Linked DNA regions of Stegostoma tigrinum. The protein of the gene in region 1 purifies or fractionates together with the protein of each later gene. This does not show direct contact. Links are inferred from orthologs where the notes say so. Each region holds a gene or a part of one and is shown on either strand. Other genes may lie near its edges.

What was found.
Region 2: the proteins of pip4k2aa (region 1) and ube2h purify together in Homo sapiens (affinity purification with mass spectrometry; 3 studies listed by BioGRID and IntAct, with this or other methods). This does not show direct contact. The link is inferred for Stegostoma tigrinum from reciprocal best matches to the Homo sapiens genes PIP4K2A and UBE2H.

The regions. Positions count from the first base shown.
Region 1 is NC_081355.1:119,246,435-119,262,397, reverse strand, and holds the start of pip4k2aa (phosphatidylinositol 5-phosphate 4-kinase type-2 alpha), read left to right. Parts: upstream 1-7,253; 5' UTR 7,254-7,549; coding exon 7,550-7,681; intron 7,682-15,963. UniProt on the Homo sapiens protein: Catalyzes the phosphorylation of phosphatidylinositol 5-phosphate (PtdIns5P) on the fourth hydroxyl of the myo-inositol ring, to form phosphatidylinositol 4,5-bisphosphate (PtdIns(4,5)P2). Has both ATP- and GTP-dependent kinase activities.
Region 2 is NC_081378.1:16,350,307-16,366,269, reverse strand, and holds the start of ube2h (ubiquitin-conjugating enzyme E2 H), read left to right. Parts: upstream 1-6,247; 5' UTR 6,248-6,339; coding exon 6,340-6,392; intron 6,393-15,963. UniProt on the Homo sapiens protein: Accepts ubiquitin from the E1 complex and catalyzes its covalent attachment to other proteins. E2 ubiquitin conjugating enzyme that transfers ubiquitin to MAEA, a core component of the CTLH E3 ubiquitin-protein ligase complex.

The DNA.
Region 1 (15,963 bases):
TTTCAGCATTCAGTCATCACCTGTAGGTCTGCCTTTTCTCTTCTGTGTGCAGTTGCTGTTTTGTACTGAGAAATACCATACGTTTCTGACTTATCAGTTCTTGGATCTCCTGATCATTCTCATCAAACCAGTCTCTATGTTTCCTGTTTGGGTGACCAACCAAATTTATGCAACCATTGATCATGGCAGTCTTGAGGACAGACCAGAAGTTGTTGGGATCCTATGACTCAGTGTTGCCGAGGGTAGCTAGGTTTGTGGAGAGGAATTAATTGTATGAGGCTGTTCTTTTGAGTGTCTTAATATTCAACTTCTTGCAGTACTGCTTCTGTTGTCTCCACTGTGGGTCGCCATATTTATGGCGATCTTGGCTCAGACTATGTGATGGTCTGCCCAGATTTTAATCTGTTTCTGATCCCTGACAATGACGTAGTCAATGAGGTGCCAGTGTTTGGAGTTGCAGGTGCTGCCATGTTGTCATATATTGGTACCTTTGGTGGAATAGCGCAGTGGTGATGAGGAGCTTGTGTTCACAGCATTTGGTCAGGGGAAGGGTGCTGTTGGAATTTTGCTTTCCTACTCCCTCTTTCCCAATTACATTGCCCCAAAGGGCTGCACTTTTTCTGACTCTGGTGTTGAAGTCACTGAGGACAATTAGTTTGTCCATTGCAGGGACCCATGAGAGAGATTGGTCAAGGCTGGAGTAGAACTCCACCTTGTTCTCAGCTGCCTCATCGAGTGTTTGGTGCTTATGCTCTGAATACTGTAACATACTGGTTCTGAGCAAGGGTGAGTCGGAGTGTCATGAGGCATTGAATTATTTCACGGGGGAAGTCTTCGAGTTGGTCCACCAGTTCTTTCATTATGGCGAAGCCAACTCCATGGATATGGTGCTCTTCTTCAGCCTTCCATTTCCAGGAAAAGGTGTCGCCACCACCTTTCTGTCTGAGCTGTCTTTTCTCTGTTCACTAGGTTTCACTCAGGGAAGTGATGTCAATATCGTCAGGCTTGAGTTCTTGAGCAATGATGGTGGTGCATCATATGAAGGGATGATCCCGTGATGATCAGGCCACAGGTTTGTATTATGAGGGAAAGGGGATGGTGATGATTGCACTTGGCTGTAAAACCTTAAGCATTCCAACAAATGTCATGGTAATCCCCCATGTTGGGACAGAATACAAGTCAGCCTGCAGATGAGTAATTTGGCCACTGAGCCCTTGTGCAGGTTACAACTAAAGATACAGGCTCCAGAATGGCAATGGCATTCCTTACCTGGTCTGAAGTAGCAGTAGGCTGCGGTTTCTTACTTGATGAGTGGCGCCCATCTCCTCTGTTAAATGTGACAGCCCCAGCGAGGGCATTAGAGCAGTGTGCAAGCTGCAAGCCTGACTCTTCGGATATAGAGTCATTCCTACCTGAGGTGGATGAGTGCAGCTAATGCCATGGACCAGAGTCTTTCATAGTGTACAGAGCTAGCTCAGTAAGTACCATCACTACAACCTTAGGAACTACCCCAGAACCATGGCGTATTGAACTGCAGAGAAATAGTAGGGGATTAGGATTTGTTTCAGAAGAAACAGAGTATAAGCATGTACAAGTAGTGTTTAACATGCCAGACGTATAGATGCTGGCTTGGTGTGAATACCTAGCAACTCTTTGATCATTTGCTCCAGAGAGAACTCAGTCATAGTGAATCTGCACTGGAACAGAAAAGGAGGGGAAAGGGATTGATAGAATTATTGGAAGCTGGCCATGCATCATGGGTGGTGACTGTTAACACTCTGAGCATAGCGGAAGTGGATTATCAGTTATAGTCCCTCCAGAAAAACGTCACCTGACAAAGTAACAGTGCTTCAAAAGCTTGTGATTTCAAATAAACCTGTTGGACTATAACCTCGTATTGTGTGACTTCTGACTTTGTCCACCCCGGTCCAACACTGTCACCTCCACATCATGGCCTCTGGTAAAAGATAAGGATAAATACAGAACAGAGATATCAGAATCAGGAAAAGAGTGGTAATATAGGATGGCAAGCAAAACAGGTGATTCTGAACACCACCAACATGTTGGGACCCCTCCAGTATATTACTCAACAGATCATAGACAGAAAGGCTCAGGTCATGGCATACAATAAGAAGACAGCAATTTGTTCTACACATGCTAGCAGGCTTCTGTCTATGGCTGGCCCACATATGTTGCAATTAGACACCCACAGAGTACAAGACTGGGTGCCGGATGAACAACTGAAGACATGGGTGGGGGAGAAGACACTCCTGTGCCATGTCAGAAGCCTCACTCTCACCAACCAAGTCTGAGATACCAACTATATTGCCACAATAGCCTCAGGATACCAAAAGGAATGAACATGGCGCACCCTGACTTTAGCGTTAATTCCTCTGACTTGACCATTTGGTCATCAAGTCCTCTTTAAGACAGAATCCGGTGAGGAACTGCTTGTGTCTCTATCTGTCCATCCAAATGATACAGATGAGGACCTATGGTGGTTCATAGCTACTGAACTTCCATCTATTCCACAATTCATTGCAGACTGGGTGAAGATCATTCTTGAGGTAAAGGAAGATATCCATAAACAGACTATGCACATGAAGGAGATCAACAGTCATACAGAAGAGGCAGATAGGGTTTTACAGGCTCCAAGTATTTTGGCGTAATATTTGGAATTGGGGGCAAACACTCAGGCTCGTCGGCGGATCAGGATTATATCTCAAGTGATTGTTATAATTCAATTTGTTATACATGTTATTGTAATAATCTTATGGTGCTTGTTAACATGGAAAGTTAAGAAATGGAAGAGACTAATAACAGGGATTGGTATCAGATGCCAAAACATAGCTTGTATGACTGCTTATTAAGGTAAGAATTACAGAGATACACTAGTTTATAGCATTCCTTTCAACTCACTCATCATGATTTGTATTGATATTAAGCTTCTTTTGTAAGATGTGGAATGCGTATAACAATGTAGTTACTGTGGAACAAAAGGAAAATAAGTAAGGTATTGTAAAATGATTGGTAACGTTTATTACAAGTGCAACTATTTAAATTGTATCACCAAATAACACAAAAGAGGTAATGTTTTGCTGAGATTAAATCACTCTAAGGAGGCAATATTCACCATTGTCTAGAGGTGATCTGGAGGATTAGCAAACCCAGATGATTCTCAGATAAATCTTTGGATCAAAAGTGGGGGAGATGTTGGATAAGGCCGAAGATATGGGAATTGATATAAGATTTTACAGTGGACTAGAACAGGTTAACTGCAAGCTGGACAGAAGACTTTGTAGAAAGTGGTTTTCTAGGGTAAATAGGTTACCATGCCCAAAATTCAAGCTGCAGTTAGGAAGAATGAACAGAACGGCATTCCAGCTGCTGTGAAGACCAATATGGTTGAGACCATAAAAGTCAAAATGATTTGCAGAAATCAAAGGAATTCAACCATTGCTAAATACTTACAGTAAAATCATTTAAGATTGGACAAGTTTCACAAGCAATTCCAAATAAGAAAATTGGAATGACAACTTGGCAGGTCTGAACTATATAAATAGTAGCCCAGGAAACCCCTTAGTTTGAGCAGGATTCTAGAGGTGTGGTGAAGGCATTGAGAAGACTTCCAGTCTAGCTGGCTGCTAAGTCTCCTGGGAAATAATATTTGGGGTTAATTCAAGAACCCAGGGTAGTGAAAGACAGTGACTGAGATACTCTAGTAGTTAAAAGCATGTATTATTCAATTAAGTCCTGAATAAATTAGTTGAGTTTTATAGACCTTTAAGTGTGTTTGCTGTGTTTTCAAAAGCAATAAAGTGATCATCTGGGTTCAAAGTAAATTGTCCAAATGTCATGTTGTTCTTTCACATTTAAACTAGAAAAATGTCCATTCTGTCCATGCACATACAGGCATATGATTCAGCATGACAAGATCCCTTATGGCAGGCTGATACAAAAGGTGAAGTCCACGTGAGTTGGTAAAAAGGATACAGAACTTGTTTAGTCATAGAATACAGATTAGTGGGGAAGGGTGCTTTTCTGACTGGAGAGCTGTGACCAGTGGTATTTCACAGGGATCAGTGCTGGGATCCCTGTTGTTTGTGATATATATATAAATACTTTGGAGCTGAATGTGTTTGTGAATGACACAATGATTGGGGGAGCTGTGGGTAGTGAAGACGATTGCCAGAGGATACAACATGATATCGAAAAGCTGGAGACTTGGGCAGAGAAGTGGTAGTTGGAGTGTCATCTGAACAGATGCAAGGCAATGCAATTTGAAAGATCTAATGAAGGAGGAAATATACAGTACATGTTAGAATCCACAGGGGCATCAACATTTAGATGGATCTAGATTTAGACAGGATGGTCCACCATTTCCTGGAAGTGGCAACACATGTAGATAAGCTAGACAAGAAGGCATATAGCATGCTTGCCTTCATTGGTCAGGGCATAGAGTATAAAAATTGTTGTTGTGTGGTATCAAATTTTATTTAGGCCGCATTTAGAATATTCTGTTGCCATATTACCAGAATGATGTGAAGGCTTTGGAGAGGGTACAGAAATAATGCACCTGGATGTTGCCTTAGGACAGTATTAGCTATGAGGAGAGATTGGATAACTTGGTTTGTTTTTGCTTGAACATTGAAGGATGAGGGATGACCTGATAGAAATTTACCAAATTATGAGAGGTATGGATATAATGGTTAGTCTGAGTATTTTTTGCCAGGGTAAAAATATCCGTCCAACCTATCTTCTCGTTTATACTGACATTTTCCTAACTACCATTAGTTCTAAGGTTGGGTCACTTGACCCGAAACGTTAACTCTGACTTGTCTTCACAAATGCTGCCAGACCTGCTGGACTTTTCCAGCAATTTCTCTTTTGTTTCTGATTTACAACTTCCATTGCTCTTTCAGTTTTTATTTAGAATTGTCAATTACTACGGAACATAAGCTTAAGGTAGAAGGGTGAAAGTTTAAAGATGAGGGGCAGGTTTCTTACACAGAGGGTGATAAGTGCACTGCCAGAGGGAGTGATAGAGGTAAATATAATAGCAATGTTTAAGAGATATCTCGGCCGATACACGAAGGAACAGGCAGTAGAGTAATAGGGATCACGTAGAGGCAAAAAGCGTTTCAGTTTATAAAGGCGTCACATGTCAGCACAGTTGCGATGGTCCGAAGGGCCTATTCCTGTGCTGTACTGTTCTTTGCTCTTTAAACACACAAGTGCCTATAAATAGCGGTTAGATACTGACTAGATAATTTGTACTAGTGAGAGACATGTCATCGCCAGAACGATCGGGGAAACTGCCCTTCTCTTTGAATTGAGGCACATAATCATCTACATCCACTTTGATATGATCTCTCTGTTAAATTACAACAATATCAATAGTTCAGGATTCCTTAGGTCAAGTGTCAGGCAAAGTAAATTATATACTCAAGACTCCTGGAGTGAAATTTTAATCCTCAAAATCCTACCTCAGAGGCAAACGTTACTCGTCAATACAGATATCTGTTATCCACGATATCATGCCAAAGTTCCACACTGCACTGAAATTAGCGTCTGATTTTGAACACTATATGTACGTCTTTACTTTGTTTTTCAAATCCACTCGTCACTGCTTCACAACAAAATGGAACTGCCAGTAACTCCACCAACAGGCACTGTTAGAAACTAGCAAAACTGATCCCAAATGTTCCTGACATGCCAATGTCAAATAGCCCCAAGGTTCCATTCTAAAATATGATTCAATTTATCTGTTCGGCTCTGAGTCCATCTTAGTTTCCACCATTATCAGAATAAGGCTGTACTTTGAACAGCTCTTTGCCTCATATGATCCAATCTATGTTTGACACTATATAGTATGATGCTTCTATACTTCTACTTAATATCTGTCTCAGGAAGCAACGGAATTCGTAGGAATCCAACCGAGCGTCCAATAATCGAATAACTGTTTTGGAACACTAAATCCCTGCTTCTGGAAATTAAGTAACTGAGTGCTAATAAATGCAATTGTATTTTTAAAATTATTTTAATTCAACATCCTGCAAGAATTTCCTTTTGTTGTCGGTCATATTTCGTTTTTTGTGCCACCAATTACATTTTTCATGCTTTCCATTGAAATTATTTGCACTCAACCCAGTCACGAATCCTTTGCCACTTGTCAAAAGATCCCTGGTTAAATGACAAATATTCTAGTTGCTCTAACTTCCAAAATGAATATCCGGAATCAGATGTGTTTGATTTGTAAAGACTTAAAAGGTCAAAATTCATAGAATCAAAACTAAACCATCACCAATAAAAGGAGGGACAGAAAACTGGGAATTGTCGATAGAGGGCACGTGTGGTGGGTGCTCGTGTTTACGATTGGTACATTTATGCAAGATTTATTTTGGGGTTAATCTTGCAGCGTTATACTTTTTCCCAAGTTACAGAACTGTTAGGCTTTGCCTCTTGACGACCCTGGGTACCGTCTTCTGGCATCTTTATTACGTTACAGATGGTACATCATTGCGAGTGATTGCAATGCTTGTGGCACCGATAAAACATGAAACACTTAGCAAACCCTCCAACAGGAGTTACCTGATTCAACTGAGGTATATTAATTCAAAGCGCAGTGATAAAACCTAAACATTTGGAGATACCGTACTATGATCAATCCTCGTCGTTATCCTACTTCCTTCGGGAGAAGAAACGTAATTCATGCCATTTACCGGACAGCGGCGTTATTTCCTATACAAAACATTGTAAATATATCGCTAACAATAAATAATGTACAAAATTAATATTCTTCATCAGAGATAATTCTGATTTTATCGATTCAACCATTACATATTTCAGAATTCTACCACATTCATTTCAGAAAACAAGTTTCTCCACACGACTATTTTGGTAGATCTCCGTCCCTAGCAAGATGTACACTTTGTCCAGCCCTGGCTTCTCGGATTATCTTATTTACTTGGTACACATAACGGAAAGATATAAAGTTTCAAGCATTTTTCAGATGCTTCTAAAATACCACATTACGCCCACTCACTCCACAACCCAACTTGATGGCTTTTATTCTCTCAGATGCATGCGGGAATCAAATCGTCTCGTGCAATCCTGCGATTGGTCGCATGTTTTCAGGTACCGCCCTATTTAGAACATTGCAAAGCTGGAGTCTCATTGTGTTTGGTTTCTAATGCTGTCAATCACATGCCTTTTGTTTCCCCGCCTAGCCCCTAGGTCTCCAGGCTGCGTTGCAGTGTGCGGCTTGTAGCTGGAGCCTCGCCTCCTCGCAGTTCTCATATACACTCATCAAGGTCCGGAAGCGACAGGACATTGAAGAATATATAGTAACCAGTGTGAGCTACTACTACCACCACCGCCACCCCAAAACAATTCCTGATCATAACCGTCCTAACTCTTTGTTTTCAATGAGGGGAAGGAAGAAGACGTCTTAAGTTTTGTTTTTAAATTGTAAACATTCCCATTTCAACAATTACAAAGATAAAAAATAATTTGGTGAATAAAAGGAAAACGCGAGACAGGGAGAAAGATGGCAGCGAACAGTACAACATTCGCCAGCAAAACGAAAACCAAGAAGAAACATTTTGTGGCTCAGAAAGTAAAGCTGTTTCGAGCTAGTGATCCATTGCTTAGCGTCCTTATGTGGGGAGTCAATCACTCGGTAAGTCTGTTTTAAAAAACGTCATGAAATGCGGTAACTGCTGTGTGTAACTTCTGCAGGAAATCACATTAGCTGGATATTCCTCGGACAGGTTACTTGATCTTTGCGCCTGGATATTCCCTCCATTTCATTTCACCTAAGCTAATAGACATGGGATTTGATGAGATTTAAAAATCTATGCCGTGCATGTGCATTATGATGTTACGGAGAAGATGTGATAAATAGGAATGACCCTGCAGCATTTCGTTTAAGGTGAGTCTATGAAATGACAAGTCCTTTTAAGAGCGTTGCATTTGACAGATAAAAGCCACAGTTAGCTTTAAGTAAACGTGCTTCATATTATGTGTCTATGATGGGAGTGAGCCGAGGTATTTGGCCGAGGGCCTGCACCCTGTTCATGTGACTCCTAGCGGTTTTTTTAAGACCAAAGGCGACGGCCTGGAAACCCCTTAATGTCAACTTGCTGTCGAGTTGTGAGGTAATTACGACTGACAGCTCTGTTGACCAATTGACACCAAGATCCTGAGTCCAATGTGATTCCTGAAAGGAAAGCCCAAAGTGAAGGGGGCGGGGCGGAAACCTGCGCTTTTAAAAAATTGTGCAGCAGTTTGGCAAATGACAACTGCGTTGATTCTTGTTTCCTGTAAGAGCTAACACATAGTACCCTTCCCCCCCCCCGCCCCCCCAAAAATGCATCATTCATATTTTTTGATCAGCTAAGCAAATGCACTGGCTGTTGTACCTTTTGCGTACGTATTATTGTTATGGTTTAGGCTGGTGTTCTGACCTCCAGTTTTGCATGTCAGCACTTGATATTGTAGGCAGTCAGGGTGACATGCTATTTCATCGATCCTCAATGTTCTGCTGTCAGAACTTGTGGATGTACAACATCACCTCTATGCTTATTTTCAAAGCAGAGTTTTACGGAAACGAAGTACTGAAGGCCAAGGTTTTGAAAATGTGGCAGTCCAGAGCAGGCTGTTAATTCGTGTGTCAACACACAATCTATGTCTGCACCATTATAACTAATTTATCATAACCAAATCATTCAAAAGATGAAAGGTGCTTCCTCCATCTAGAGGAAGAAAAGTGGTAACTAGTTTAGGTAGATTTCTCTTTTAAGAGTGGCTTGAATGTCAGTTGCTTATGTCAATACATAAATGCATCTTAACTGCTGTGTGACTGAGTAACTCTTAGTATGTGTATATATAATCAATAAAGTGTTCCAATCTTTACTTTGGAGATTGAAACAGTAACTGAAACTAACATGGTCTTGGTTCAGGCCCTGGATGAACATATGCATTCTATGGTCCATCTCACTGGCTCATTCTCACTGCACGTTGCAGGATTGGGGGAAAGATCTACATTAAGTGCTACAAATTATCACTTGTTAATGGTTCCCATAAAGTTAAATTGTTAAACCTGTTTAATTTTGAAATTTGAACCCGAGGTGAGTTTTGTGATAGAGAAATATGGCTGTTTTGACTAGTAACAATAGGATATTAATTTCAATGTGCTATGGTTTGTTTCAGTACACCATGGTTATTGGACTGTGATTCCCTTCCTTTTGGAACTGTCATTTTTTCACTTTTACACATTAAAAAAATTGAGTTCTCCATCTTAACTATGAAATTAATTGTAACAGTTTTAGGAATTTGTTGTTAGGCTTTCATGTATTGCTTTAGTATCATCAGTTGGTAATGGTAGTACCTGTGCAACTGTGAGATCTTGCTTTCTTTTGGGACAAAGGGACGGGATGGCCTAATGTATGAGTTCTGAAGGAGAATTTTCAAAATAAAACTGCTTTTCATCTTCTGTACATTTTTTTTGGATGTAACTATGTGCCAAACATTTTGTGAATTAGTCTTTTTTTACAATACTTCAATTTAGGGTATATTCAGCAAATTCAGTCATGCAGTGGTTTTCAGTAATCTGAGTGAAACACTGATTAATTCTGTAATGCAAGCTTCTTGGCCTTACAGTGTTAGAAATGAATTGTGGACTTTGCTAGGAATCCTTCTTTCAAACTTTATGAACGCATATGGGACTTTCATTGGACAAATGGGAGAAGGCTTAAGACATAAAGATTGGCAATTGCAGGACCCTGTGATTCTGCATTGCAAGGAATAGGCATCAAAAGCAATTGATATTTTAAAAAGAACTGGAGATTCTCTAGTGACAGACAAGGATGACTTCTAAAATTGAGTGGTAGGTTTGGTTTGGTTTGCTATGCTGAAGTAACTGGGGGCCTTCTCTTTGGACTAGATATCCATACTTTTGTAGTCTCTGCTTTGGTCTTTACTGCAGAGGGCTATTGAGGCTGGGGTTGTTAAGTATGTTCAAGGCTGAGATAGACAGAGTTTTAGGGAAAGACAGAGACGTTGACCTTCATTTATTTTCATCATAGTACTGAAGTAATGGTGCAGAGGAACAGGATTGGAGTAAAATATCTCTTATGTAGTTAACATGATGCTGGGAAATTGGGGCAAATGACCTTCTACATGTGCTGATATTTCTACGTAGTTTTGCTACTCAGAAGCTCAGGCTTATGGTGACAACTTTTTAGATACTATTTATAAATGTGTCAATGTTGCAAAAATGTTTGCAAAAAGGCAGTCTTAATGCAAAATTGGATAGAATTGTTATGGTGTTATTATGTCTGGCCTTTTTTTATGTATTTTAAAACTGTTCATATTTAACTGCAACCTCTTTCACTTAAGATTCTCATACTTTTCATTTGTTCTGAATAGAAATTCATGTTTTAAAATGGTATCTAATTTTGTTTTACATACTGAAAACAAATGATATAAATAAACAAGAATGCAGAATTGGAGATTCATGCATAACAAGTAACAATTGACTTAACTGGTAAATCAACCATATGTAGACCAGTTGGCAGGAATTTTGATTTTTTTTTAACTAAATTGCTGCTTGTCATTTTATTTGAGTATCTAATATTATTATGAAACAAAAATGCAATGGCTATAAGAATGCTTGCACATAGTGCTGTAAGGTGCTAATGAATAGATTTGGCCTAGGTGGCACTTGTGTTATTGAATTATAGAGCAGCACTGGAAAAGATTTGGGAATAGATTACATTGCCTGTCTTTTGATCAGGAGTTAACACATGGCTTGAGAAAAAATATTTAAATATTTTAACATATTTTTAATAAACATGAACAATCCCTCTTCTGTACCTACACTGGCCCCAAACCCCGCCTCTTCCTCTATTACACTGATGACTGTATCGGCACCGCCTCATGCTCCCACGAGGAGCTGGAATAGTTCATCCACTTCACCAACACCTTCCACCCCAACCTCAAGTTCACCTGGACCATCTCTAACACCTCCCTCACCTTCCTGGAGCTCTCTGTCTCCATCTCGGGCAACCACCTAGAAATCGATATCCATTTCAAGCCCACCAACTCCCACAGCTACCTAGAATACACCTCCTCCCACCCATCTTCCTGCAAAAATACCATTCCCTATTCTCAATTCCTTCGCCTCCGCTGCATCTGCTCGCAGGATGAGGCATTCCACTCCCGTACATCTCGGATGTCCTCGTTTTTCAAAGACCACAACATTCCCCCCACAGTGGTCGAGAACGCCCTTGACCGTGTCTCCCACATTTCCCGCAACTCATCCCTCACACCCCGTCCCCGCAATTACCGCCTAAAGAGAATCCCCCTACTCCTCACTTATCACCCCACCAACCTCCTGATCCGCTGCATCACCGTCCGACACTTCCGCCATCTACAATCCAACTCCACCACCCAAGACATTTTTCCATCCCCACCCTTGTCTGCTCTCCAGAGGGACCATTCTCTCTGTGCCTCCCTTGTCCTCTCCACACTCCCCTCCAACCCAACCACACCCGGCACTTTTCCCTGCAACCGCAGGAAGTGCTACACGTCCTCCCTCACCCCCATCCCAGACTCCAAGAAGACTTTCCACATCAAGCCGATGTTCACCTACACATCTGCCAGTGTGGCATGCTGCATCCGTTGTACCCATTGTGGCCTCCTCTACATTGGAGAAAACAAGCAGAGGCTTGGGGACCGCTTGCACTTCCCAGTCACGAACCATTTCAACTCCCCTCCCATTCCTTAGACAACATGTCCATCCTCGGCCTCCTGCAGTGCCACAATGATGCCACCCGAAGATTGCAGGAACAGCAACTCATAGTCCGCTTGGGAACCCTGCAGCCTAATGGTATCAATGTGGACTTCACAAGCTTCAAATTCCCCCTTCCCCCACTGCATCCCAAAACCAGCCCAGCTCGTCTCTGCTTCCCCAACCTGTTCTTCCTCTCACCTATCCCCTCCTCCCACCTATCCCCTCCTCCCACCTCAAGCCACACCCCAACTTCTTTCCTACTAACCTCATCCCACCCCCTTGACCTGTCTGTCCTCCCCGGACTGACCTATCCCCTCCCTACCTCCCCACCTACACTCCCCTTTAATGGCTCCATCCCCGCCTCTTTAACCTGTCTGTCTCCTCTCCACCTATCTTCTCCTCTAGCCATCTTCGATCGGCCTCCCCCCTCTCCCTATTTATTTCAGAACTCTCTCCCCCTCCCCCTTTTCGGATGAAGTGTCTAGGCCCAAAATGTCAGCTTTTGTGCTCCTCTGATGCTGCTTGGCCTGCTGTGTTCATCCAGCTCATCACTTTGTTATCTCGGATTCTCTAGCGTCTGCAGTTCCCATTATCTTTGAATTTTTCCAACCTCTTTAAAGAGGTCTTCAGAGTTTGCTTTATATGGTCTTAAGTCTTAAACATTGGATAGAAGGAATTAATGTTTCAGGATGTGAGTTTATCAATTTAATGTTTCACTCACCATATCAATTTAATTGGGCAAAATTAGTGCATCCAATAGAAAAGATTGGATATTTTAATTATAAATAAATTACCTGTTTTAAATGATCCCTTACACTTAAGACTGACTTCATCCAGATCAAGACCTGTTCACAAATTGAGCCCAGTCCCAGGTCAAAATTACAAGATTCTGCCAGTGACGTTGGTTGAAGAGTGAAGGTCCTTCAAATTTCACTCATTTTTGTGCTGATTCTAGGAAGCACGTTTTTACAAGTCTTCTGTAGGAGTAACGTTTAATGTACTACGCCTTTATCGATTATTGCATTGCATATTGAAGTTGGGATGTCATGTTGCAGCTGTACAGGTTATTCATGAGGCCACTTTTGGAATAGTGTTCAGTTGTGGTCTCCTTGCTATTAGGAAAGATGTTGTTAAACTTGAAAGGGTGCAGAAAAGACTTACAAGGATGTTACTGGGGTTGGAGGGTTTGAGCCACAAAAAGTGGCTGAATAGGCTAGGGCAATTTTCCCTTGAGCATCAGAGGTTGAGGGGTGATATTATAGAGATTTATAAAATCTGGAGTGGCTGATGGCCAAAACGAAGCAAGCTGGAGGCCTGGAATGGTGCGCGGTGACCAAGAACTGGAGCAGAGCGGGTTGGAGGCATTGAGTGCCAAAGACTGGCTGAGAGCCGGAGCAGAGCAGGCTGGAGGCATGGTGTGGTGTGGGGATGTTTGTTGGACTATCATCAGTGCAGGTGGTCAGCAGCTTGTGAGCCTGGTCAGACCATGTATGGAAGAGCCCATGCTAATCTTCTGAATATAATGTTTATCTGTAATCGGTTTATCTGATTGTAATATTTATGCTTTTAACTGTGTCTTATTTCTAACTTATACTATGAATCACTGGAAGTTAATGCAACTTATTTCTTCTTTTTTTCCTCTTTTTGTATTTAAGATTTGTGCCTAGGTACTTTGTATGTAGGATCGTGCCATGAGAAGCATCATTATAAACTTTCGCTGTACTCCTGTACTTGAGTACATATGACAATAAAACCTAATTCTTAATTCTAAACTCATGAGGGGCATGGATAGGGTGAATCCTAGGGTAGGGGAGTCCAAAACTGGAGAGCATGGGTTTAAGGAAAGAGGGATCTGGTGCTGGTGGGGTTGGGGGGCGGGGGGGAACAGGTGTGTGTGCATGTATGGAATAAGCTGCTCAAGCTACTAGGTTGTGGCTGGTACAATTACAGCATTTAAAAGGCATCTAGATGGGCACATGAATAGGAATGGTTTAGAGGGATATTGATCAAATGCTGGCAAATGGGGCTAGATGATTTTAGGATATCTGTTCAAGTTGGACTGAAGGGTCTGTCTCTGTGCTGTACAAATTTATGACTGTCATTGCCTTGTATATACCAATAAACATACTAAATGGTTTAGTGTATGTTGTTTAAAGTAATATTCAGTATTTTTAATGGTTTAGCAGAGCTCTGGACACATACATATTTTTGATCAACATATTTTCACCTGAAAAAATTCCCAAGGTCACTGGCTTTGAGTTCATCAAGAAATATATTTTAACAGAAGGGGAGACAAAGATGATTATCATCACACTCCATGATTGTACTGAGTCATTGACACAGATTTAAGATGTTCAATGTAAATTAATTTTAGCAGAGTCTTGAACTGTAGCCTGTCCTGCACAATGCTGAACATAATTGGATGTATTTTCTCAAGTGTGACCATGTGTTGACTTTACATACACAGATGTATTTGTAAAATAAGCAAGTACAGATTTTCAGGAGAAATCTACATTGATTTGTGAGTAAAGAACTTGAACTTGAATGAAAAGTTTCCTGTATCATATTTTGAAATGCTCATTTTCAAAAATTGTTTTCAGTGAAACTGAAAATATTTTGAGATCTAAGGCATTCATTGCTTCTCTTTTTTAATAAGCAAGCCCTTTTTGAAAATATATTCACAATACTGTAAGTAGGATAATAGCTAGTTTGAAGTGTATAATCGTACAAAAAGTGCTTAGAGATCTGATTCCAGATTCTGTTGCAGCTGTTGAATGTGGTACCAAAATAAGGAGTGCTTCTCTACACAAACTAAATGCCATACTTATACATGTAGTTGTACTTTCACAAAAAGTGATGTTTTGCTAAAATTTGGAAAAGCTGGAAAAAAAGCAGCAAATCTGGAAAAACCCGCAGAAGTCCAGACTGCCTGGTTCACATCCAAACTGTTTGGTTCCAAGGAGAGATCTTAAAACTAAAACGTTTACTGGCAAAACTCAGCAGTTCTGGTAGCATCTGTAGGAAGAAAGCAGAGTTAACATTCTAACACTGGTGACTCTTCATTAGAACCATCACCTGCAGTTCATTGTTTTATCTGCAAACTGAAAACAACAATTGAATGTCTTCTCTTTCTCCACAGGTGCTGCTGGATTCCCATAGTAGTTTGAATCTTTTATGTTCTTTTCAGACTTGCAGCGTCTGTGGTATTTGGCTTTTTCTTTACCGTGTTTTGGTTTTTGGGTTTTCTCCCCTGCAGCTATTGTGAGGTAAATACTCACAGTGGGACAGTACCATGTGATGTTGAAAAGATGAGCTGGATTTAGTTAGCTGCCATTTAAAAAATGTCTTGCAACAAGATATTTTACCTGAGACACTTTGCCAAGATCAAGGATAATAAGTGTCATCTGGAATTACAACAAGCGATCAGAAAGCTAGAGCAAGCAATATTTTCACTATGTGCTTTAACAATGAGCATTAATAGATGTCTTTATCAGTGTTTAAGGTAGCAAATTTTGAAACTAGATTGAAGCACAGTTTGTTTGCAATTTGATTTACACTGAGATTGGGCAATTCAACTATAGCCTTGAGTTGTGCACAGGTGAGGAATGAAGTAAGTGGAGAGGAGAAATTTTATCCAGCTGCTGGTTTAATTAGTGCTGTGATATTCTCAAGGGAAGCAATTTATTAAAAATTCACATTCAGTGCTTGCCAAATGGCTGTGGTAGATACACAGTTAAGGAGCTATTTGTTGTCTGCTAATCACAAAAAAACTACTGAAATTCAGTTTTTAATCTGATATTGCAAATTTTTTTGTAATGTTTTGACAATTTAATCTGGTGGGCCTACAGCTTGTTGTTACAGGAACCAGCAAAATCTAATTGAGACACCAAGATTTTTAAAATCATTATTTGTTGTGATATTAGATTTAGCAAGATGAAAGTTCAGAACTAAAAATTTAATACAATAATCTCTTGTTGCAAATGCATTGTGTTTGTGTAAATAAATTTATAAAAACATGGCACACTTAGCAATGAAATGTCATTCATTTAACCTGGCACCTTTATACAAGGCCTTGCTATAATAAATAAATGATTCAAATTTAACATAAAAAGTATAGCTAAGAAAGATATGATTGGTGAGGTTCTGTGGACTGTTTATGGTAGGGT
Region 2 (15,963 bases), on another chromosome or scaffold:
ATACAGTTGCTACTTATGATTATCTGGCAGTGTGACTGGCCTGCAGTTTCTTAGATGGATGTGATCATTTAAAATTGTAATGTAAGTTTGGTAAAGTGAGGGAATCTCAGTAAGTTGTAAGATTTCTTGCAAAGTCTTTGGAGGGTCAATTCTCAGCTTAAGTCAAAGGTGGAATAGCTTGATTTTCGCAGAAATCTCTTCCTTTCAAAATATTGCTGATAACTTACAGCTAGTTTAGATACCTTCTAGTGAAATTCTGTGTCTGGCAAACAGCTCTCCTGATTTTAAAGCAAACAATAAACATAGCAAAGTCCTCTTGTTGTTTCCATTCATCCTGTTTTGTTTGACAACTTGAGAGAGTTGAGACAATGAATGCTTTTGTACTTGAATGACAACTACAATTTAGAAATGACCCTTTTGAATCGGTTTCAGGAAAGGAATTAATTCCACATAGGTCTGGAATGTTCCTTTTGTTTCCCCTTGCAACAGGGGATTGGTTTCCGCCACAGGTCAGGTGACCATTAGGCAGACAGCTTTTAAAAGCTTTTGTTCAGCTTTTATAAAATGTGAAGAATTGACTGAAAGACCATGTATATACAGGAATATAACATTTTAAAAAGCTCTGAACCATTTAGTTTTTTACTTGTATTGAAGGTGGTGGCAGGAATGCTGTTTGGCTGGATGGGGCAATTGATTGCAGTAGGTCACGTATTGAAATGTCCAAGAATATATTCAACAAGAATGTATTCTTGGACATTTCAATACAAAACAAGAATGTATTCTGGTTTATTACCTCTTTGAGACAGCATCAGGAAGGATCAGAATATTTATACAATAATTCACTAGGACTGCAGTGAATCGTACCAAAGAAATATTTAAACAAAGCTTCAAATTCTTGAACAGTCAGTTAAGCCCTACTAAGCTCTTAAGTACCACAATAACCAAAGAAAATAAAATATGTAAGTTGATAGAACAGAGTAAACACTCTATTATTCATAGTGCTTGTTTTATTGTCTTACATAGTGCCTGAGGAATGGAAGAATTCTGACCATCTAATATTTAGATAAACAACAATAATTTTGTAACCAAAATTATAAAGTGCACATGCAAATTTAACTACCTACTTTTCTTTATTAATATTGTTTCTTTGTATGGTCTTGCAAAAACTTCAACTTGTCACATTTCCCCAATGAAATGTAAGATTTATGATCAAAAGTAGGCCATTTCATCCACCACACTGGTTCCACCATTTAATAAGATTGTGTTTGATCTGATTGCAGATTTCCCTCCATGTTCCCACCTGCAGTCCATTAAACCCTGGCTTCTTTTTCAATCAAAAATATGTTGAAGTTATTCTTAAACATTAAAAAAAAGACAAAGGATAGCTCACTGGGGAGCCACTAACTGACATGGATTCTCTCTTCTGTTTGGGGTTTAGAATGAAACCTATGAAATTCTCTTTTGGATGGCCCTTGTTTGTCATTCCTCAATGGGCCGTTCCTTGACTGACTGTTCTTTGGCCAGTTGCTCCATCACTGGCTTTTCTATACTAGTTATTTCTTGCCTTTCACTAGTTTAATTTCCTCTGCCAGTTAAAGAAAACTGAGTATAATCATTCATTCATATTTAAGAATGAGAATTCTAGATTTTGAAGTATGTGTACGTTTTCTCCTATTTTAGAATCATAGAATCCCTACAGTGTAGAAACAGGCTATTCGGCCCACTGAGTCTGCACCGATCATCTGAACAGCATCTTGCACAGGCCAAGCACCCTACCTTATTCCTGTAAGTCCATATCTACCATGGCTACTCCACTTAACCTGCACATCCCTGGACACTACGGACAATCTATTATGGCCAATCCACCTACACTGCACATCTTTGGACTGTGGGAGGAAACGAGAGCACCAAGTGGATACAGGCCGAACTCCACACAGAGAGTCACCCGAGTCTGGAATCAAACCTGGGTCCCCAGTGCTGTGAGTCAGCTGTACTAACTGTTGAGCCATGATGCGTTCCACATTATAGAACATAGAACATAGAACAGTACAGCACAGAACAGGCCCTTCAGCCCACAATGTTGTGCCGACCATTGATCCTCATGTATGCACCCTCAAATTTCTGTGACCATATACATGTCCAGCAGTCTCTTAAATGACCCCAATGACCTTGCTTCCACAACTGCTGCTGGCAACGCATTCCATGCTCTCACAACTCTCTGCGTAAAGAACCTGCCTCTGACATCCCCTCTATACTTTCCACCAACCAGCTTAAAACTATGACCCCTCGTGCTAGCCATTTCTGCCCTGGGAAATAGTCTCTGGCTATCAACTCTATCTATGCCTCTCATTATCTTGTATACCCCAATTAGGTCCCCTCTCCTCCTCCTTTTCTCCAATGAAAAGAGACCAAGCTCAGTCAACCTCTCTTCATAAGATAAGCCCTCCAGTCCAGGCAGCATCCTGGTAAACCTCCTCTGAACCCTCTCCAAAGCATCCACATCTTTCCTATAATAGGGCGCCCAGAACTGGACGCAGTATTCCAAGTAATTATGTATCCCTTATGTTAGACAGTTGCTAATTGTAAACTGATCATTTTAGATGCTGTATCTCCAGACCATATCCTGGACTTTTGTCAGTTATTGATATTGTTGTTCAATCATGGTTCACTATCTGATAATATAGTGGCATTTTCCCCAACGTCTGCCTTGAAATTAATGAGATGACTATTTACATAAACATTTTCTTGCTGTAAAGCTAGGTCTGGATTACTTATTCCCATAGTATTTCCCTACTATTACCTATAGCAGATGAATGTGTGACTGGAGACTTGGTGCAGGAAAGAGGGTTTTAGAATAGTTAGGCATTGGGATCATTTCTGGGGAGGTGTTGCCTGTATAAGTTGAACAGGTTACATCTGAATGAGAATGGGAATGGGACCAAAGCATTCTGTAGTCTTTATTTGTTGAAATAATCTGTTTCTATTGTTCCTGCCAAAGTTGACAGCTTAACATTGCACTCTTCTGATATTTGTCAGTTGCAGAATTTCCAGTTTGCAGGCACCAGCCATCTCCCCCATACCAAGGATGCACAATCTCTTTACACATCCATCCCCATCAGGATGGTCTTAGGGCTTTCTTACTTTTACCTGGAAAGAAGGCCTGGTCTGTCCCCATCTACCACCACCCTCCACTGCCTGGCTTACTTTGAACAACTTCTCCTTTAACTCCTCTCGCTTACTTAAGCTCAAAGGAATGGTCATGGATACCTGCTTGGTCTTCTGTTATGCCTGTCTCTTTGTGTGGTATGTGGAACATTCCTTGCTCCAGTCCTACCCCTTAACTCTTTCTCCATACTTCAATGATGTTATCAGAACTTCTTTCCTCTCTCAATTGGAATTGGAAAGGTTTACCTATTTCACTTTAACTTTTCACCCTGCTCTCACCTTCACCGACTCCCATAATTAACTGGACTATATATCCTCTCAGAGATAATAGGAACTGCAATGCTGGAGATCCCGAGATAACAAGGTGTAGAGCCGGATGAACACAGCAGGCCAAGCAGCATCTTAGGAGCAGGAAAGCTGACTTTTCGGGCCTAGTGAAGGGTCCTTCACTAGGCCCGAAACGACAGCTTTCCTGCTCCTAAGATGCTCCTTGGCCTGCTGTATTCATCCACCTCTATATATCCCCTCACCCTGCTTCCTGTAAGGACACTGTTCCTTTTTCCCAGTTTCTCCATCTCTGTCACATCTGTTCCGATGATGCCAGCTTCCATCAGGGAGAAACATGTCCACCTTTTTCCTCTACCACTATCTTAGTTGACACGGCCCTACCAACGGGATGCCACCACCAGACACATATTCCCCTCCCCTACCTTGTCAACATTTGGCAGGGACCATTCTCCCAGGACACCTTAATCCACTAATTCTCCATTCCTGACACCTTCCTACATCCTCATGGCACTGTCCCATGCAACTGCAACAGGTGCAATGCTTTCCTGCTTACTTCCTCCCTTCTCACTAACCAACTCTCCAGAGATACCTTCTAGATGAGACAGTGATTCATCAGCTATTCACTCAAACTAGTCCACTGTATTTGCTGCTCACAATGTTGTTTCCACTACACTGGGGAGGCGAAATGTATACTGGGTGATGGCTTTGTGGAACGTCTATAAAAATGACTTCAAGCTTCCTGTCACCTGCCATTTCAACGCATGACTATGTTCCTTGGCTGACATTTCTGTCTAGAGCTAGCTGCACTGCTTCAGCGAGACTCAGCACAAGCTGGAAAAACAACTTTTCATCTTCTGCTTGGGATCCCTGCAGCCTTCAGGACTCAATTTTGAGTTCAACAATTCTAGAGCCTGAACGCCCTCTCCTATGTCCTTACCCACCTTTGTGTACTAAGCCCTGTCATGACAGGGGCTGGTTTCAGCACAGACAGCCTATTTTCAACTATGCATTGCCTCCATTATCAGCTTTTCTTCTTCCCTGGCTTACTACCTACGATCCCTTTGTCCATCCAATTTTTTTTCTCTTTCTCTGTTGGATCCATCTCTACTTATCTGCTCACTTTTTCCAACGCCCATGCCCTGTAATTAGCAGAAAAATCACCTTTCCCTAACAACTTTCAGTTCTGATTAAGGGTCACCAAATGTCAACCCTGTTTTCTCTCCAGAGATGCTGCTGGCATGCTGAGTTTCCCCACATTTTTGCCTCACATTTACTGCATTATACCTACCATCATTTGTCCACTTAGACATTATCCTAGTCTCCTGTCTAATAATACGTAATTTAATCAAGCATCATGAAAACAGATTACTACAGCAAAATCATGCAGCTACTGAAAATCCGAAACAAGTACTGAAAAGCTGTTAAAAACTCAAGTTACGTCTTTTGAGAGAGACTGAGTTAACTTTTCAGAGTTAAAACTGAGTTAGCCTTTCATCACGGGGGCCATTGATGTCTCAGACATTGTTAGGTGCAAACTGGCTTCTATGGTCCCACATTATAGCAGTTACTGCACTTCATTGGTTGTAAAGCACTTTGATATGTGCTGAAAAAGCCTGTGTATAAACATGATAACAAGGTGTAGAGCAGGAAAGCTGACGTTTCGGGCCTGGACCCTTCTTTCAGAATTTAAGAAGGGTCCAGGCCCGAAACGTCAGCTTTCCTGCTCCTCTGATGCTGCTTGGCCTGCTGTGTTCATCCAGCTCTGCACTTTGTTATCTCAGATTCTCCAGCATCAACAGTTCCTACTACCCTCCATGTATAAGCAGATGTTTTGTTTTCCTTCAACATTTTCATTGTTAAATGTTTTCGAGGATTTAATAAAAACAATGCTCCGTTAACTGAGAATACCCTGGTTCTAAGTTACATTTTATCAACACGTCCTTTAATGACTCTGAGCCCTACGTTGCTTCGGAAGTATTTCTTGCTGCTTCAGGAGAACTACAGCTCCCGTCATGCCGGACGGCGCAAACGCATGCGCACTATCCTCAAATTTCCATTATGACCGGATTTTTTGTCGGTTTTTCATAAAGTTCGTTAAATTTCATCACGCACAATGGCAAGACAATTAAATGATGAACTAACCCAGGTATATATCAAAAAAAGCTTCGAGGAAGGTTGTCACTGAAATGTTTAACTTCCAACTGTCGCGGGTAAAGACTACAATTCCCAGAAGGCCGCGGAGTATCGCGGGGGGTGGGGGGCGCGTCTGGCGTCGGCGACAAACAACAACGTCAACGTCACGGACGAGGGTTGAAGAGAAGGTTCAGGAGCAGAGAGAGAGAGAGAAGGTAGAAAGGAGAGGCGGAGGAACGAGAAGGAGGAGGTCGAGGGAGAGGGAAAACTGCGAGGCAAGGGGGGTGGGAAAAAGAACTGGCTGAATTAAACAAGCGATCATTAAAGTGAGCCCCAGGGACCGGCGGAGACTCACCTCAGAGCCTGAAGAGGACAAAGTGGCGTCACCCGAGTGAAGAGAGGGGGGGAACGAATCTCCTCAGACCCACAAACACACGCACAGTTTGTCCCCCCCTTCCCTCGTCTTGTTTTCGTTGCCGTCCGAGTATACACCTCGATATCTATCATTCTTTTTGTGTGCTACCCCCTTTTTTCTCCCCCCCCATACCCCCCCCGGGCCGGGGGTTCCGTCTGTCCGTTTGCACCTGAAAAGAATTTTGTTATTTTTCTGTGTGTACGCGGCGGAGGGGTTTGGGGGGGGGGGAGCAGGGGGAAGAGTGGGGTGGAGGAGGAGGAGGTGGTGGTGGTGGTGGTTCGGAGGAAGACAGGCCCGAGAAGAGGAATTAAAGCCGCCACCTCCTCAGCAGCACCAACATGTCCTCCCCGAGTCCTGGGAAGAGGCGAATGGACACCGATGTGGTCAAACTGTATCCTTCAGAGCAGCGAGTCTCCCAGTCGGAGGGGCTTCAGCAGTTAACGCTTTTTCCTCCCTATGTTCCACATCTTCCCCCCCCCCACTCTTTGTCTCGCCTGTTATTTGTATCAAGTACGCCGTTTGTTTGCGTTGAAGGATGATATTTTTAAAAAAGTACACATTTTATATAATGTCACAAGCTTAGCCCATTAGTCGGTATTTTTTTATCCGTAAAGCATGCCCCTAAGTGTGTACACGGGCGATGGTTATGATTGGGGTTTTTTTAGGGGTTGTTAGGTCTTTGAGATATACAGTGGTTTCCATCAAAGAAAAATGACAACATTCACATGGTGACGGATGTCAAAGCTTCCTTTTTTTGGTTGAAGTTTTGTTCCTCTATCTGTTGAATATATTTTCAGGGAAAACGTTATGTTGGTTTTTTTGTATGTTACGAAATTTTGAATTTGTAGTGCTTTTATTCTAAATTTATGGCGAGTTTATAGTTCTTTACTTGATACTTATGAGGCCTTGTCTTTGTGAAAAAAACAAGCTAGCCTTTTTTTTGTGCCGTATGTCCTACGTTTGAAAGCCAGATTTCACGTTTCAGCAGATGATTTATGATTAATAGGCAGCGTCACATCGCATCAAACCTTGTTTCTGTGTTTTCAACTACAAAGGAGGTTGCGATTTGTCTGACGTGTATTTCCAGGGTACTTTTGGGCCTGTTGATCTGTCTAGGTTTATGGCGGTGGTGGGGAAGAGAAAGGAAGGAGAGATAGACGGGAGGGAATGGTGGTTGCGAAGAGGAAAAATAACTGAAGGAATTTGAATGCGGATGTTGACTGTCTTGTAAATTGAGTGACGTTTTTAATGCATCCTTACAGTTTTTGCCATATTAGCTGATAGAAGTATTACTTTTGTCTTGAATTTTTACGGTGTTGTTGAGAGGTCTTGTTTTTATTTTTGGACTGGTGAATATTTTGCTTTTTTTAAGGTTTCCTCGGGCTCGTAAAGGCATTTTTTGGTTGCTTAAAATTTATTATGGTGGAATTGAAATTTTTATATAAATGGCTGTGTCACATACGTTAATATTTAATATCTCCCCACCCCCCCCCAACCCCATTTTGGGTTGTGTTTTTTGAAGGTGCTACCTGCTGGAACTCGTTGGACAGCAACTGTTGGTCCTAATGCTAGTTGCAAAGAGCGGATTGGCTGTACTGTTACTAGCCGGAATTGAGTTGGAGGAGGAGCTTACTTAAAACACAAACACGTTCACCAGCTGACACTACAAAAGAGAGGCTACTTAGACGTCGGCGCTTTAGTTGGGTGGGGGCAAACACAGTAAACGGCCGATTACTAATCAACAGCAGTTCAGCTTCCCGTCGCTTCTAACTGTACCAGAAATTTGTCAGAACTTTATTCAGAACAAGGGAATGATGTAATCATTTGAATTAGCTTTCTTTAAGAAAAAGTTATTGCAGACTATTTGTATTTTAGAAGGTCATTAACTGGAGATTTTGTTTATCATCTTTTACACTTTTTGAACTGTTGTGTTCCTAGTGTTCACTTTTCTGATTAAAGTATTTTCATACAAGAAAGCACAGTAATCTTGTATCCTAGTTATTTATAATTTAAGGATTAGTTGGCCCCATTTATTATGTCAGTGGAAACATTTTTCGTGTATTTTGCCATGATCCCATTATGTACATTGGTAGTTTGATTTAAGATTTTTTTGCTGTTGTAGCCCAGGTGATAGAGAATACTGGTAGATATCTGGAAATAAAATCTATCAGTAGCTGCTGGGGAGTGCTAGAGATTTTTCCCCCTTATGTTTATGTCTTAGTAGCAAAAAAGGCCTATCCTGTTACTTCAGCTTGCTTCAGAAATGGTTACAACCATGTTTATAAGGTGGCTAAGTCTGCCATTTCACTCTTTCCAGCACTGATGGCAAGTTTGGTCAGAGGTGACTGCATACCGCAGAGATTTCCATTACCTTATTTGCTAAAATCACAACTAAGGTCTTATGCCAAAATTGAGTTAAATATGTGATTCTTTCATTTATTCCTTAATGGGGCAAAGGCATCACTCGTAAGTCCAGTATTTATTGGCCATCTGTGAAATCAGTGGATTGTCAGGCATGTTAGCTGGGCGTCTGGGGTCCCGTGTATGCCACAGTGAGAGAGGATGGCAGACTTGCTTAGGTAAAGGATGTTAGTGAAGCAAATGAGTTTTTATGATAATTGATAGTTTTACGGTCGCCATTGTTAACATTAGTTCCTGACACTAGATTTTACTAATTGAAGTGTGTTAATTGAATTGCTAATGTATACTATAGGACCTGATTGCAAAAGGCTGGACATACGGGAACAATTTTCCACATGGTTGTCAATCCCGTTTTGCAGATGAACTCCAGAACTAGCTGCACCCGGTATAAGTCTGCTGTACTATAGCCAGGATGTTGTCAGGGCCCAGAGTCTTTGCTGTAATCTGTACCTTTATGCCCTTCCTTGATATTACCTTTAATGCACTAGTTCATAATTGATTTCACTATGATCATCCTTGTGCCTCAGTCATGATGTCTGATTATTGGTGTCTATACTTGTTTCCAGTCAGTGGAAGGAATCTGAATGGGATAATATTAACCTTTTTTGAAGGCACATCCATCTGATTAAAATGCTGTCAAGATATTTTTCAAGTAGGGTGCCAAGCAAGTGCTGACTGAGAAATTTGATGACTGCAAAATTATTATATGGATTATGATAGCTAGGTCTATCATCGATGGCATAAAGGGAGAACAAAAACAGGAGAAGGTATTGAATGTAGACTGGAGTTTTGTTTTCATCACTGTTTGAACATGTTATACCAATCCTCCAGGAATGTCTCAATTTGAAGCGAGACTTGAATCTGGACTCTTTGGCCCAAACATACAGAAGCTATCATTGTGCTGCACAATCCTTTGATTTGATGACCAGAGGACCCAAACAATTAAAAGAAGTGGTGAATTTCCATAAGTGCAGTTGTATCGTGTGGATCAAAGAGCAGTTTAAGCTCACTTGAATTCACTCTTGCAATGTCACCTGGCCAGGAACTGCCTCAATCATTTTGCTGCATTTGTACTACTCCCATAAGGATCAGGTGCCAAGCTTCGTGACTGGATAGGCAGTGGGTTCACAACAAGTTTAATGTATAAAATTTGTCCAAGCTGATGGTCTAAAAAGGATCAAATGCACATTTTATCTAGCTGTGGAATGCTTTGTATGCTTTATGGGAGGAGAACGGAACTGGTTGTGGCAAAGAATAATCGGTACTTTTGTTATCATACAGTGCTGTTTGCTAAAGGTGACTCTGAGAAAGTTACTCTGCTACCTAACTGAGGTAGCAAAACAACCAAACTTTGGGACTATTGGGCTTTTAACATGGAATAGCAGACTGTGTGATATGTATGAATTGTTGTTTCTGCTGGTGTGCACAGAGGTTAAAAGCAAATTGAATTCCATTGTGATTCATGAATTTAAGCTCCCTCAGTATTGGTACAACACCTTTTATGTACACTGGCTTTTACAGAACTTCAAGTTGTAGGCTGGTGCATACCCTTATAAGGATTTCCATAAAATGTGATGGGTGAGAGAGATTTTCTTAGTGTACCTTATTGACTTCTTAGGGAGAAAACTGAGCACCATAATAAATTGCTTCTCCAAACTTTTATAACTTGTGACTAAAGCTTTTGGAGTATTTAATAATAGAGTGAAATTCTTGTCTTGTGTGGTACTAATGAGAATAGACAGTGCAAAGTGTATAGAAAATTTATTGGCACAAAGTTGAAAATGTGGTTTAAGTATGTTTGTTCGTCCATAATGTGCGGGTAGCATGTGTTTAATCTTGTATTTATTATGAAATGTTTGAGGGACATGAACAATAATATTTGATAATTCAGTTAATTTTGAAGTAAATCAGTGGTTTTACTTCTATGGATATTGATAAAATTTGGATTCCTCTCCCCCACCCCCCTCAGCTAATGCTGATTATAACCTCTTTCACTTGGGGTCAAGTCTTATGTTCAGTTCACTCTTTGGTACTTTGCCACTCAAGTATTTATCATTTGTAAATCCAGGTATTGAATTTTAGGTTATAGTTGAGTCCAGTCTGCTGTTCGTAAAGCATCTGTATGTGGTGTAAGGATCTCTGAATTGTAATCAGGATAAAAGCGGTGGGCTTTACCCCCTTACCTTAAGGCTTTTAATGTTAAACACAGCTAGGAGTCAAATTGAAGCTTTTTGAATTCTACACATCAGAGCTAGAATGCAAGAAACAGATTTGAACAAAAGGACACAATTTCATAAGCGTGGAGAGGATGGCTAACTGAATCATCATTGGCATGGGTCGTGTGTTTGTGCTTGTTTGACTATCCTGGTTTGTTTACCTGCATGCCATTCAAACAAGCTATTGACACTTGCACTATGCCACTGTCATGGTAATCTAAATATGTCATTTAGTGTCTGAATCTGAGTTTATCAAATTCAATAAATAACAACAAAAACCGATGAGTTCGGTTTAAATTACGTCGTATATGCTCCTGTAGATGTGTTGCTGTGGAATCATCTGTAGGCCCAGCCCCTGCTAACGTTTTTGATGTTACCATGAGAGACCTCTTCAATGGGCATGAAATAAACATCCTTTTCTCAGTGTATTAATTGTGATGTGTGACAATGAGTACTTGACTACTATATATCAAAGTCTTGGTTCACTGATCAGTAAATGTTTGGATTTGCAGAGTTTCATGTGCAAGGTCATTCATATGACCAGGCTCCTAACTTTGGCTCACCATGTATGTTTGCTGGGGTAGGCTATATGTGACCTACCCTATGATTGTGGATACCCCAATCAAATCATTACTTCAATATTGAACAGCCCAAAGGTTGGGCTGTGTCTACCACCTTTGGTCCCAAGTGATACCCCTTGTTCTCAAAGGGGAAGATGTCTCAAAAATTTGAACAACAGGTGAAGCTCATGGTCTTGCACTGCTCCTGCAGTAAATCCACAATAGCTTTTCTTCGCTGCCTTCAAGCCCAAAAAGTTTAGCCAACTATGCAGATGAGTAGTGTGCATTTCTGAGCTGGCATGTTGCTGGGTATGTAAGCTGTACATTGCAACGACTGGAAAACCACATTAAACAGCATGTCTGTTGACTATTTGCAGTGGGTAGCACAACTGCTCTTAACCAGCCTATGCTCGCAAGTCTCAAAATTTATGCATGTCATCATAAGTAATATTTGCAATGGACTGTGCTAATAGTTAACCTGCTAATTAAGATAATGGTAAGGTTTGCTGTGTAATGTATTTACACGTGATAAAAGCCAGATACACACATTCACTGAACCCTATTTTTAATGGAGATCAAAGGAATTTGTATCCCCAGGACCAGTCAGAATCTACTTGCCTGTCTGAGAATGAAGATTGACGGGTAATTCTTGCAGCAACTCTTGGTGAGTGATGGCCCAACCAAATAACACCCTTTTCTCATGTTGTATGAAATGCTGTACCTCCATTGAAGTCTGTTTCTTGTCATTCTGAGTGCAAGATGAAAAGCTTTGACATGTCGCCTTTTAGCAGTGTTTAGCTTTATACTACTAAGCTTTAAGTTCCTATTTGTTACATGATCACTGGTCGACCAGTGGTGAACCTGAGTTAGTTTTGGCCAGTATACCTCATCATCTTGTCTTAACTAGCTGAATCATTGAAAAACATTTAAAAAGTTGAAAATAAAGATTTTTCAAGGACGTGCACCATTGTTGATTCAATGCTCCATCATGAGGTTTGTTTGCCTTTAAAGAATCTTAATGTCTATGTCATTGGTAAACATGCTAGGTGAGAATAATTGAGTGAATTGAACTGCTTTTGTATAGTGTTCATCTGGTGATTTGTCTTTCTATGAATTATAGGTTGTTGTGCCTCACTGCTAGAGTAGCACACTGGAAATGAAGTCCTGTTTTTTCTGGAGTTCTTACAAAAGTTAAAGCTTTTAAAAGTGCGCAGAATTCCCCAATTTATCTAACTCATCAACCCAGGTTGACGGCTCAAAACTTTTCTGTACCTAACAAGAATTGCTACTTATTACAAAAATAGATTCGCCCTCTCAATGCATATAGTCAGAAACAAAAATACAGCTGCTGTTGGCAGAAGGAAATTCAATGGTCCCTTTTCATTTTTTTTAAACTTGACATAGCATGCTATTCCTTGATTCACTCCCAGATGCTTTCACTTGGAGTTGGGACAGGGTGGCTGGTACATGCTTAGTTTCCCAGGCTATTGGTTAAGAGCCACAGCTTACAGCAATGCCTGAGGGAGCAATAAACTGGCTTTATGCTTAAAGTGGATATTACTGCAGAGAAAAGAGCCAGCTTTTGCCCTTGAGGAAATCCAGTGGCTTCTCCTAAACATTCACATGCTGAAGTTTTTTGGCTGCTTGAGAGCCAAATAACAGTTTTTAGTAGGCAGAGAAAAGATAATGTAAATAACTGGAGAAACTTCATCAGCCCTAGCAGCATCTGAAGAGAAAGCAGAGCAAGTGTTTTGGATCCACTGACCCTCCTTTTGAAGGTTTTTATCATTATTCCGTGGATTAGTGACCAGTTATCAGTCAGTGACAAATTGCGAGCCAGTGCTCCAGTCGTACATATCTCTTGGGTTCAGCTCATCTGCAAATCATCCCCACATCTTCAACCCTCAGCAATATAAGCAAGACTCATAATGACTGTCAGGCTACTTCTAAAATATGCAGCAATCCTTCAGTAATCCTTGGCTTTTTAAATCAGTTGTTTTTCCCATTTCAAACTACAATCGAAAAACAAAAACAAAAGATAGGATCTTTACAAGTTACCAGTTTAGTGTATATCTTAATTCCATAGTGTAGCAGTTCAAACATTGTGTTGATTGAAGCTTTGGTATCAACTAATTTGTTTGAACAGCAATGTGCTGATGAGAAGCTGTGATCTTGGCATAGTTTTTTATATATTGGATTTGAATGAAGGATAGTAAAGCATGGGGAAGCGAAGAACAAGTAAATTCTCTGCCTGGTGAGAAAAATGAGCTGTTTTCAAGTTTTAACACAAGTGCAAGGTTGAAGTAAATGTGTGACAACGACACTGGTCAGACTTTGACAGAAAGCAGCAGTGATTCAGCCTATCAAAGGCAGCTGATGTTGGGCATACAGTCAGAGTTTGGAGACAGTACAAGCCATTCAAGTTTTGTTCTTGCATTAGCCTTGTCTCAGTGTTATATTAGCTCTGGGTCAAACCTTATTTTGTGGTAATAAGTATGTAATCTGTAACTTTTTAGTTTTATTGCAGTATTGAAGGGGTGTGTTGCCTTTTGAAAGAAACTGAAGGCCGCTCTGTTTTTTCAGATGTAAAATATCCCATGATGGTATTCAAATAGCAGTTAAGTTTTCCAGGTTTCTGGACTAGCTGAATAGTTGCGGGCCTAATACTAACCCCTGCGGTACTCTGCTTACTACTGATTTCCAGTCAGAGAAAGGTGTAAAGTTGGACAGGCTGAGTAGGAAGGCTGACGTTTCGGGCCTAGACTCTTCTTCAGAAAAAAGACCCTTCTTTTTTCTGAAGAAGGGTCTAAGCCCGAAACGCCAGCCTTCCTGCTCTTCTGATGCTGCTTGGCCTGTGTTCATCCAGCTCTACATCTTGGTATCTCAGATTCTCCAGCATCTGCAGTTCTTACTATCTCCAGTCAGAGAAACATGCATTTTTCCCAATTCTCTGCCTTCTGTTGGTTAACCAGGCCTCTATCCATGCTAAAACATTCCCTGCAGCTCTTAACTTATGGATGAGTCTTTTATGTAGTACCTCATCGAATGTCTTTAGACAATCCAAGTACACAACGTCCACCTGTTCCCCCTATCCACTGCGATTGTTATATTCTCAAAGAAGTCCAGTAGGTTTGTCAAACACTACCTTCCCTTACTGATCATTGCTGTGCCTGCCTGTTGAACCCTTTCCATCCAGATGTCTTGCTGTTTCTTCCTTCAATGATTGCTTCAAGCATTTTGCTGACTACAGATGTTAAGCCAACCGGCCTGCAGTTGCCTGCCTTTTTCCTACGTTATTTTTAAACAGCGGCGTGACAGTCAATGTCTTCCACTCTGCAGGGACCTGCCCAGAATCCAGTGAAATTTGGTACATTACCACTGACGCATCACTACAACTTCTGCCATTTCTTTGCGACCCCTGAGATGCATTCCATCAGGACCAGGGGACTTATCTACCTTTAGACCCTTTTTATTTTGCTCACCACTACACCTTAGTGATAATAAATTGAATTGATGTCTTCACTTGCCATTGTATCCTTAACAGCGTTCTTTGGCATTTTAGACATGTCTTTGTGTGAAAACTGACACAAAGGCTGACACAGCCGTTTCAGCATTACCCAGTGTTAATTTCCCTATCTCATCCGTCAAGGGACCTACATCCACTTGAGTCACCCTTTTCCATTTTACGTATTGATAAAATCATTTCGTAGCTGTTTTTATTATCTGTACTAGTTTGTATCCATAATCTATCTTTCCTTTCTTTATTGCTTCCCTCACTGTTCTTTGCTCTTTAAAGTTTTCCCAATCTTCTTGTTTCCCACAACTCTTGGTGACTTTGTAAGCCTGAGCTTTTGGACATCTTCCTTTATTTCCGTAGTTACCCAAGGCTGGCTCTTACTATATGATAAGGTGTAGAGCTGGATGAACGTAGCAGGCCGACGTCAGCCTTCCTGCTTCTTTGATGCTGCTTGGCCTGCTGTGTTCATCCAGCTCTACACCTTGTTATCTCGGATTCTCCAGCATTGGCAGTTCCTGTTATCGCTGGCTCTTCCTACTCCTGCTATCTTTAGTTTTTGACTGGAATGTACTTTTTTGAGCACTAAAAATCTCTTTAAAAGTTTGGCACTGTTCCTCAACTGTTCCACCATACAACTTGTGTTCCCAGTCTAGCTTAGCTAACTCCAAACTCATCCCACTGTCTCCCTTGTTTAAGCATAAAACCATGGTTTTGTATGAAACTATTTCACCCTCCATTTGTATCTGAAATTTGATCATACTCTGATGACTCTTTGAGAGGATCCCTAGCTAAGAGATCATTAATTTTACCTGTCTCATTACCCAGGACCAGATCTAAGATTGCATGTACCCTTGTAGGATTGGTTGCAAGCTGTTCAAGAACGTTATCACACGAGTGCTATGAGCACCCTCCCTTCAAGACTACCTCTACTGACTTGATTCGCCCAATCAATGTGCGAGTTAAAGTGCTGTGGATCTGGAGTTGCGTGGTGGCTAATTCTGGTAAAGATGGCAGATTTCCTTCATTGGGTCTTTACAACGATTGACTGTGGTTATAAAGTTGCCATTGGCTACCGTTTTATTCTGGATTTTTAATTGAATTCAGATTTTCACTATCTGCCATTATAGGATTTAAACCCATAACTCAGGACCATTAACCTAGGGTTCTAGATTACTTGTCCATAACCTTCTAGGAGAGGTGATGCTGTACTGGTAATTCAAGTGAATTACTGAAGGAGCTGGCTTTGGG